3 linked regions of the Danio rerio genome follow. The protein of the gene in region 2 purifies or fractionates together with the protein of the main gene of each other region. This does not show direct contact. Links are inferred from orthologs where the notes say so. Each region holds a gene or a part of one and is shown on either strand. Other genes may lie near its edges.

Region 1 (2,155 bases), on a different chromosome or scaffold from region 2:
TCTGGAATCTGATTGGCTGATAGCCGTGTGATATTCGCAGTAACAGCACTGGTCCAGCCTCTTCACCCTCGTGTATTCCTCCGCCCACAGAGAGTGACAGCAGATCAGTACACTCACTGCAGTCGGACTCATACTGCAGCGCTGGCCATCATCGTGCACTGCCGAGGCTTAATTAGGTGAGAATGGAGAGGTTTAGAGTGCAGCTCGCATGTTATTATTGAGGACAGCTTTTGACTTTTAAATATTCATTATTTCTGAGAGACAGCGCGTCGGCGGCCATCAGCCTGCCATACTGAGCAGAGCAAAGATCATCAACTTTGTCCATCCACAAGATGGCGACAGAGACTGTATAATGCGCACTTAGAGGAGGAATAACCAGCGTAATGTTAAACTGCAGCTGATCACTCCATGATTAAGCAGGTCAGAGACACTCGGAGCGGATCTCTCTCGCTGTGCTGCAGTGCTGTATTTATACCACAGTAACTGCAGTGTCGAGTGTGAGATGGCACTCAGACATCAGGAATGTGTGTGTTCTGTGTTGGCCATCTGCTTGTTTCTGATGCGTCTCCTGTTTTCATTACTGCAGACTGGTTCAGTAAACAGAGAGACAGAAGAAATGCCCGCATGTGTTCAGTGTTTCTCCTCATCTCAGACACAGCAGTGATCTGCTAGTGTTGTTCTGCTTTGGCTTTTTCAGGGTTCACTATAGTGATCTCCTGACTGCAGCAGAGGAACGCTGGGAGATCTCTGTACAGCACAGGTGTCAAACTCGGTTCCAAAAGGGCCGCAGCCCTGCACAGTTTAGTTCCAACCCAAATTAAACACACCTGACCAAACTAATGGAGTCCTTCAGGCTGGTTTGAAACCTACAGGTAAGTGTGTTGGAGCAGGGTTGGAACTAAACTGTGCAGGGCTGCGGCCCTCCAGGAATTGAGTTTGACAGCCCTGCTGTAGACTGATGACACTTCCTGCTGTTCAGCCTTATCATCTTAAACTGTGAGCAGAATCAGCTGTTCTGTCTTCACTGTAGACATTACGCTGGAGAATCATTCAGACACCAGCTCTACAGTGATGATGGGGAATGAGCAGCGGCTTCTGCTGTTCTGACGTCAGCTGCAGATGTGAATGAACGGCGAGAGAAAGTAGTTCCTCATACACAAGGGTTTTTAGACTCTCTGAGTTTGATTTTCAGTTTTATACACACAATTATACGGTCAAACTGTTGTATAAATGCAATATAACACGAGTAGCAGTGCCATATGGCTGTATATCGCCACTGGTGGGACACTAAGACACTCAGCCTGTGGCCTCGAGCCAACACAGCCTCCCACCAGTGCGATATACAGGCGATAGTGGGATATAGTTATGTTCATATGCTTGAACATTTCCACAATATCAGATTTGGATCAGCCTATATGGCAGATGCTGATCCAGCAAATCTGATATCAGATCAGTGTGTCCAGAATGACTGAAAGCATCCACTGATCCGTCTAGCAGCTTAAACATGACCGCAGCAGATCACAGCATGCGTTTCATCAGCAAATGCAACATGTTCAGCCCAGTTTCAAGGCAAAACAAATAATTAAAAGATTTTAATGTTAATATGTGATGAAAACCCTACAGTATCTGCTGGAAACACTCTGCTGAATATCTGCTGGAGAGAGCTGAAGAATGAAAAAGCCCGAGCACAGTTACAGAGAGACCAAGAGCTGAGGCCCGCGCACACCAACAGAACCTTACATACGAGCATGCCATTACACCTGTTATTGATCCTCCACAGTGGCGTCTGCAGCTCTGTGTGTTCAGGCGCTGCAGTGTGGAGAAGCGAGGACCCTTAAAGTCTATATCTGTGTGTTGCAGTGTGAGAGCGCACCTTCATCTGTGTCTGTTCTCCGATCAGCGTTCCCCTGTAGTCGGTGGTGTAGGTCCAGTCATAGCGCTTCACCGCCTCTGTAGAGTGCTCAGACTGAGCCCTGTGGAGAAACACACACACACACACACACACACACACACACACACACACAGAGGAGTTGGGATTTGGGATAAACTGGCTCATTATCGTGCTGCTGATCATCCTCCACACTCTGTCATGTTGACTTCACCACATTACTGTGGACTCGGCTGTGTGCTGATCTGCCGTTCAGGAGTCTGGCAT
Region 2 (4,025 bases):
TCAGAATGATGGAATGACTTTCTAACAAGAGCTTGAACATGAAGTGAAGATTAAGGATACAGATGAGAGGTTTGCACTGATGTTGCATGTTGTTTTTAAACTCAAATAAAGCCTAAATGTATGTGATGTCGTTCTTCTGTAATCGGTAACATATCGGAAACTATAAGTTTCTACATGTGTTCATACATGTTGCATTTATTTATTTATTTTATATAAATTGCAGATGTTTCAGTAAGCCATTTCGCACTATTTTGCATCATTGATCTGCAGTTATAATCAAATCTTGTTCATAGACAAGTTAGTACTGAACATTTATACACAAGTATTTATGTGTATAAAGCACCTGTTTTGTGAGAAGTGCTTCTTATATGATATGTGAATGACCTGTACTGCTTTACTTTGAAATGTCCTCGAGCGAAAATGATGTAGACAAACCTTCTGTCGTACACCAAGCCCAACAAAAGAGGACCATTTTTACCCTTTAGGTGGTTGGATTCCAAACCTGATAAAGGTGACCCGTACCGTACTTTACCACTCAGTGGAAACGGGACATTAGATGTTGTGCCGATCAATTTCAGATAATGAATGATAGACATTAAAATTGCCACAACACAATCCCACAGTTTCGCCAAGAATAACAAACTTACCCATTGTATTCATTGACAATCTTTAGGATTCGCTCCTTCATTTCTTCAAAGGGAATTGACTCCACGTTAGGGTTGGCAGGCCCTCGTTGCTCTGGAGCCGATGCATGGAAATCCTCCATTACTTTTTCCAGTTTAAATACGAAGTAGGTTTTAAATTGAGACCAGGACACCCTGAAGAGATATACAGCATTCACAGCTCAGTTTATTTTTAGATTTGTCAGTCACAAAGCTGTTTATTATATAACTTACTATTATATGGGCTTTAAATGATTTGGTTGCAATTGTTACATAATGTGAGTAGAGTCCAGGGTGATGTGAGTGGCATAAAACCAGCACGACTGTTAATAACACATTTCAGTGTCATTGAGCAAATATATTTGACAGCAGAAGTATTACAAAGAGATAGATATTAATATTTTTTTAATTTTCATTCATGTATTCTAAAGAGTTCATGAAATGAGAGCAGGTCGGCCAAGTCAGATCTAGTCGATAAGTACAAGGTTTAGTTTGTTTTGGAACAAAACCAAAAGGTCATATAACAACCCACCCTCTGGTGTTACCTAAAAAAGCAGTTATGATTTTTAACAAACCACTAGAAGACAAAGGTGAAAAGGGTTTCTGTGTCCCACTTAGATCACTCATAGATATTTGAATGTACTTACAGGGTTTCCCCAGTCTTTGCAATATGGCACAAAAACTGGTCCAAAACTGTAGACGCTTCCTTCTTCACCTTCTTGTCAAAATCTGCAGGAGACAAAAGCAAAAGTTATTTTGGAGTGCATGCAACTCCAAATCCTGCTAATGCATTTCAGTCTATCAATAATATTTTAGTTCTGATTGACTCCATTCTAGTTCAGACATCACAAATATAAGGAGGAAATAGTCGTTTATTGTTCTTTCAATTATTTGTTCGTATTTTCACACAACTACAAAGCGGCTCTCTTTCTAGATAATCTTCATGCATTAAAACCAAACACAATTTTCTATTCTGAGCGTCCAGAAACAACTATAATATTATGCACACCTTTATGAAAATATAGAATCATTTTCCAAGCACAGATCTATTAACAGGCAAGCAGTGCAACTATGATAAACATCTAGGTTATGTAAACATGTCGTTTGTAATCTTAAACTCATTTACAAGTTCCATAACTTTGTTATATCTTTTAGCCGTTACCTTTCAACAATTTGGAACAATATATATATATATATATATATATATATATATATATATATATATATATATATATATATATATATAATCATTTAGTGATCAAAACCACTTCCACTTCCCTAAAAAATAAACAATATACGTATATAAAAAATAAATATAAGAACGGCAAATCACTCATTTACATCAAATAGGCCTTGATCAGACAATTGTGAGCTTTCATTAGAAATATGAGAAAATATCCTATTCCAAACACACTTACATAAAGCTCATACAGGTACAATAAATAGTAGTATTATATTATTTTGTCACCAAAACAATTTGTACTACTCACAAAAATCATTATTAAAACATATAAATAATAATGAGAAATTATTCATTGATATTTTTTTAAATAAACTAGGCTAAGAGCAGAGCTAAAGTGCAACTTAAATGAAAGATTTCTCGTTAAATACAAAAAGAAAATCACGTTAAAGAAAGAACAAACTCACAAAGAAAATGTTAAAATCATTCACAAGTTTATAGTTAACACTGAACACACAGATGTGTAAGGTTAGAATACTTAATTCAACTCTACATCATAGCAGTCCACTACCTAGTAAACTCCAACAATAGCCTTTTTATTAACGTATTAATAATCCAACCCTCCATTTTCTGACAGAAATTTAAAGTCGTCGTAAAAATAGAAGAATGAAACCTGCTGATCTGCTCTTAACACACAACAGACCTCGAAAAACAGGAAAAGCCATTTAGCCACAGGCCATGCTAGCATGAGCTAACTCACATTAACCAGACAATAACCACATATAACTCCATCCTAAACTCGCCCTGACCGCCTCAACACACGCGACCGGGTACCTTTGAGAGCCTCCAGAAGAGTGTCTATCTCCATGTCTGTGTTGTTTTCCCTGTCTCCTGTTGGAAAGCGAGAGCTGATGGCTGCTGTTGAGCTCAGTGAAGAAGAGGAGATGGGAAACATTTCAATATGGCGGCGACTGCGACGTCACTGCCGGCCGCTCTTCAGGAGCGCTGGCTGTTGCGCAATAGCATGGCCGCGTTCCAAAGCCTAGTCAGCCTCCTATTTAGGCATCATTTCTGGGTGGTTGAACACAGTGTTTTTGTTGCTGTGCAGCAATACCTAGTGAACGTCTCGTGTAGGCGGTATTTTAAAGCAGAATAGTCACATTTCGAGCTAAGTGTATGATCATAAGTGCTGTTAATGTTTAGCAGCCTACAAGGATTTGAAACACTTCTATGTGACTTGAATTATTTAACCTATTTATACCTGAACTCTCGTCTGTAAATTTAATTAAACATTAGAATGACTAATCTGGCTCTGAATTGTAACTAAAACAAAACGTAGCCTAGCCAAATCATTCAGCTACAAAGCCTAGGCTACTACAGGGCTGATGTCTAAATAAATTGTCTGAGGGGTATTTATATTGCACTGTACTGATTAATAATAATAGATAAATATAATACAAACTGTGGAATGGTCATTTAAGTGTACACCCATAATGATATTGAAGTAGGCATCCTGCAAGGATTTGAAACAACCTGACTGAAATAATCAGCCCATCCAGCAAGCATTTTATGTTTTTAAAAGAGGTCTAATAGATGTCCAAAAATAGTCATCTCGGCTAAAACAAGGCTAAATTTGGGCTGTCAGTGAAAATAGAATAGACGTTTAAGAATATAGGCCAAAACTAGACCAGTCATCAAATAAACAGAAATGAAAGACTACACATATAGAGTCTGTCTATTTTACGACTAGTCTAGTTTTGGGCTATTCTTACACGTGTATTGGATTTTCAGTGACAGCCCAAGTTTAGTCTTGTTTTAGCCAAGCTGCCTACGTTTAGATGTCTTTTAGACGTCTATTAAACCCAAAAGTGTTTGCAAATAATAACTGAACACTCATCTTTCTGTCTAAACACGTGACTGTTTCTTGCTCTTAATTTTACAAAATGTACTTGTAACCATCCAACTAAAACATCATGCTAATATTAGGTCATCTTTATAGTGTCTTTTAAAAATGTTAGTGTTTCCAGTGCATAGACTATAGCCTATTGTCTGGGGGTTAATACAATATATTGCAAGACAGCATGGAAATAGGCATCTTACCACGATTTAACAACAACAACAACCTGACTGAAATTAATAGACTATTTATAACTGAATACGTCTCTTTTAATAAGCACAGGTAG
Region 3 (3,500 bases), on a different chromosome or scaffold from region 2:
AAGAATGATGTTGAAATATGATTTTAAAATCTATATTCCTTATTTTTTTTTCAGCTAATTAAAGGAAGATTTCTGAAATTAACACAATTAATAAATCAGTTACCATGTCCTCTGAGGTCCATCGCTACAACTCTGCAGGTGATCCGGCTGCAAATAACAGACTGAAAATACAAAAATTGCACAATATTAGACACCAAAAACTAGCATCAATTGTAGGAGTGAAATAGTAATATTATTATATGGCTCTGAAAATTATGAAGAGACTACATTCAGATTATTGTTACTTTTCTGGATTTAAAACATGCGTTTGCGTTTTAATTTATAAAACATGAATAATGTGTCTACCAAATTTCAATAACAAAAGGTTAAATGTTTACAGACATTACATATTGAACACAGAAAATGACCTAGAAATATATCTTTCCCAGTATAAAATGCTTTAGATTTTGATGTTTTTTTAAGCATAGATTAACATTAATTTTATCACTTGATTCAACTCAAAACACGTTGCATATACAGTTGAAGTCAGAATTATTAAACCCCCTGAACTGATAGCCCCTTGTTTATTTTTTTCTTCATTTTCTGTTTAAAAGAGAGAAGATATTTTCAACACATTTCTAAACATAATAGTTTTAATAACTCATCTCTTAAAAACTGATTTATTTCATCTTTTATTTTTCAAGACAATTCTATACAGCTTAAAGTGACAATTAAAGGCTTAACTAGGTTAATTGGGTTAACTAGGCAGGTTAGGGTAATTAGGCAAGTTATTGTATAACGATGATTTGTTCTGTCAACTATCGAAAAAATATATCGCTTTAAGGGGCCAATAATTTTGACTTTAAAATGTTTAAAAAAATTAAAAACTGCTTTTTTTTAGCCAAAATAAAACAAATAAGACTTTCTCCAGAAGAAAAAAAACATTATCAGACATGCTGTGAAAATGTCCTTGCTCTGTTAAACATAATTTGGGAAATATTTAAAAAAGAAAAAATAAATTCAAAGGGAGGCTAATAATTCTGACTTCAACTGTACTTATATGCACATGCAAATAAACACCATGGCATCCTTTATTTAATAAAAAAGCAAAAACTGTATTTACTGTTATTATATTTTTATTACTCATATAATATTTTATTTATTTTATCTCCTGCAAAAAAAAAAAAACTGAATGTTTAGCATCATTACTTTGATCTTCAATGTCACTTGATCCTTTAGATGCCATTCAATTATCCTGATTATACTGAATCGCTGCTTCATAGTTTTGTGGAAACTAGCAGATTAATCACTTTTTGTTTTCTTTGCTCTCTCATTTGATGAACTTTTAATACATCATAGCTAAATAACATTTTAAAAAGTAAATAATAAAATGTTATAATCAAAAACAACTGATTTTAAAAAATGTAAACAACAATATACAGTGAAAGTCAAAATTATTAGCCCTCCTGTGAATTTTGTTTTCTTTTTCAAATATTACGCAAACACTGTTTCAAGAGTTTACACTTAGCTGATGATTGATTATAAGCAAGTTTGGCATGCTGTCCCGGGAGAGAGCCCTGAGCTCGAAGGTTCTTGAGCCCTGGGCTCCCTCCCGTTTGGAGGAAGAGAGGGGAGCCTCGAGCTCAGGTAGATCTCGACAACTCCCCTTTTTATAATAGCTAAAGATTAAGATTGAAGGCTATTAAAAGATATGCTGCATTATTAGATTACCTGTATTGAAATTTAGATTTAACGATTAACTTGTTGTACATGTTTTTGGAATGTGGGAGGAAACCGGAGAACCCGGGGAAAACCCACGCAAGCACGGGAAGAACATGCAAACTACACACAGAAACGACCACCGGCCTGTTAAGGAACTAGAACCGGTGACGTTCTTGCTGTGAGGCGACAGTGCTAGTCACTGAGCCACCGTGCTGCCCTATGGAGGGAAAGGTGAAAAGGTAGGGGTGGAAGGGGGGATTCTTCAAATCGAAGATAATTGTAGTGAGAAAACCCTGGCTCTTTATAGTGGTTAGGAATGGCCTGATTGGTGGATCAAGCATGCTAATGCAGAACCAGCCGTGTTCAATCATAATCACGTGCTCCTCTCGAAATTAGTTTATGAATAAACTTCACTTATCAGAGTAACATATAATTTACAGTTTGTCTGATAATATTTTTTCTTCTGGAGAAAGTCTAATTTGTTATATTTTGGCTAGAGTAAAAGCAGTTTTTAGTTTTTAAAAACCTTTTAAGGTCATTATTATTAGCCCCTTAAGCAATATATATTTTTTGATTGTCAACATAATTATACAATGATTTGTCTAATTACCCTGACCTGCCTAGTTAACTTAATTAACCTAGTTAAGCCTTTAAATGTCACTTTAAGCTGAAAACTAGTGTTTTGGAAAATATCAAGTAAAATATTATTTTCTGTCAACATGACAAAGATAAAATAAATCAGTTATAAGACATGATCTATTACAACTATTATGTTTAGAAAAGTGTTGAAAAAATTCTTACTATTAAACAGAAATTTTGGAAAAATATATGCAGGTAGGCTAATAATTCAGAAGGGCTAATATTTCTTACTTCAACTGTATATTATGCTTGTATTCATGTGTGGCTTTGAGAGATATATTAAACTCACAGTAAAGACGGCCCAGGACAGAGCAGAGTGACCTCCTCCATGCAGAAGCAGCAGGACGGGACCATGAGAGCCACTGCTGTAAATTCTGAATGTGTACACAGGAGTTAAAGGATGCTTCACAAAACAAGATGGAAACCTCTGAATAAAAAAATAGCATAATTGGCCAACAGTCTGCTCCACAGTAAAACAAAGGATATGTCTTTGCTGTTGTCATTTTCCACCTCCACCTCCACGTCCTCAATAGTTTCAAAGTAATGACTCCATGGAAGGGGAGAGAAATCTCGCTTTCTTCCTGGTCTGCATAAAAAAATCACGTCATTAACATCTGAGTGTTCTTGTGGATATTATATGTACTGTATATCCTTATATCGTTGCAGTTTAAATGTCTGACCAACTGGATATAAAGCACAACAAAATCGAAGAACAAATTGGAGAAGCAATTTTAAACAAAATATAGCCTACATGAAGATGACAAGTTGTTTTCAGGAGTTTGATACAACTTGACATTGCAATTTTTTTTTCTGAAGTATTTGCTTTAGCAGGTGAATAAACTTCTTACTCCCAATAGTCTGTGGTTATAATATAATAGGTAGATGTTGGCTTTACATTAACAACAGGGAATCTTTAAATTAAACCTTTTCCCATACAGTTTGTGTTAAACTGATTAATCTAACATTTTGCATCATGATGTAACTATCTTGGTCAAGTATTAGAGGTGTAACAACACTGTGATATTGACATCAATCAGCAGATCAACGAAACGCCTATTATTATGTATCGATGTTAAAATATTAACAACATAAACATTTTTAGAGACACCTTTATTTGGTCACATGTACAGTATATGAGATTTTAACGGTATGATAACCTT

What was found. Proteins that work in one complex are often made in the same cells at the same time.
Region 1: the proteins of ppp4r2b (region 2) and tiprl purify together in Homo sapiens (affinity purification with mass spectrometry; 5 studies listed by BioGRID and IntAct, counting the BioPlex papers as one, with this or other methods). This does not show direct contact. The link is inferred for Danio rerio from reciprocal best matches to the Homo sapiens genes PPP4R2 and TIPRL.
Region 3: the proteins of ppp4r2b (region 2) and ppme1 purify together in Homo sapiens (affinity purification with mass spectrometry; 3 studies listed by BioGRID and IntAct, counting the BioPlex papers as one, with this or other methods). This does not show direct contact. The link is inferred for Danio rerio from reciprocal best matches to the Homo sapiens genes PPP4R2 and PPME1.

What each region holds. Positions count from the first base shown.
Region 1 is NC_133185.1:310,319-312,473, reverse strand, and holds part of tiprl (TIP41-like protein), read right to left. Parts: intron 1,974-2,155; coding exon 1,874-1,973; intron 1-1,873. UniProt on the Homo sapiens protein: May be a allosteric regulator of serine/threonine-protein phosphatase 2A (PP2A). Isoform 1 inhibits catalytic activity of the PP2A(D) core complex in vitro. The PP2A(C):TIPRL complex does not show phosphatase activity.
Region 2 is NC_133181.1:46,718,841-46,722,865, reverse strand, and holds the start of ppp4r2b (serine/threonine-protein phosphatase 4 regulatory subunit 2-B), read right to left. Parts: upstream 2,801-4,025; 5' UTR 2,711-2,800; coding exon 2,677-2,710; intron 1,392-2,676; coding exon 1,310-1,391; intron 819-1,309; coding exon 648-818; intron 1-647. UniProt on the Homo sapiens protein: Regulatory subunit of serine/threonine-protein phosphatase 4 (PP4). May regulate the activity of PPP4C at centrosomal microtubule organizing centers.
Region 3 is NC_133196.1:26,828,252-26,831,751, forward strand, and holds part of ppme1 (protein phosphatase methylesterase 1), read right to left. Parts: intron 2,927-3,500; coding exon 2,827-2,926; intron 2,723-2,826; coding exon 2,630-2,722; intron 162-2,629; coding exon 104-161; intron 1-103. UniProt on the Homo sapiens protein: Demethylates proteins that have been reversibly carboxymethylated. Demethylates PPP2CB (in vitro) and PPP2CA. Binding to PPP2CA displaces the manganese ion and inactivates the enzyme.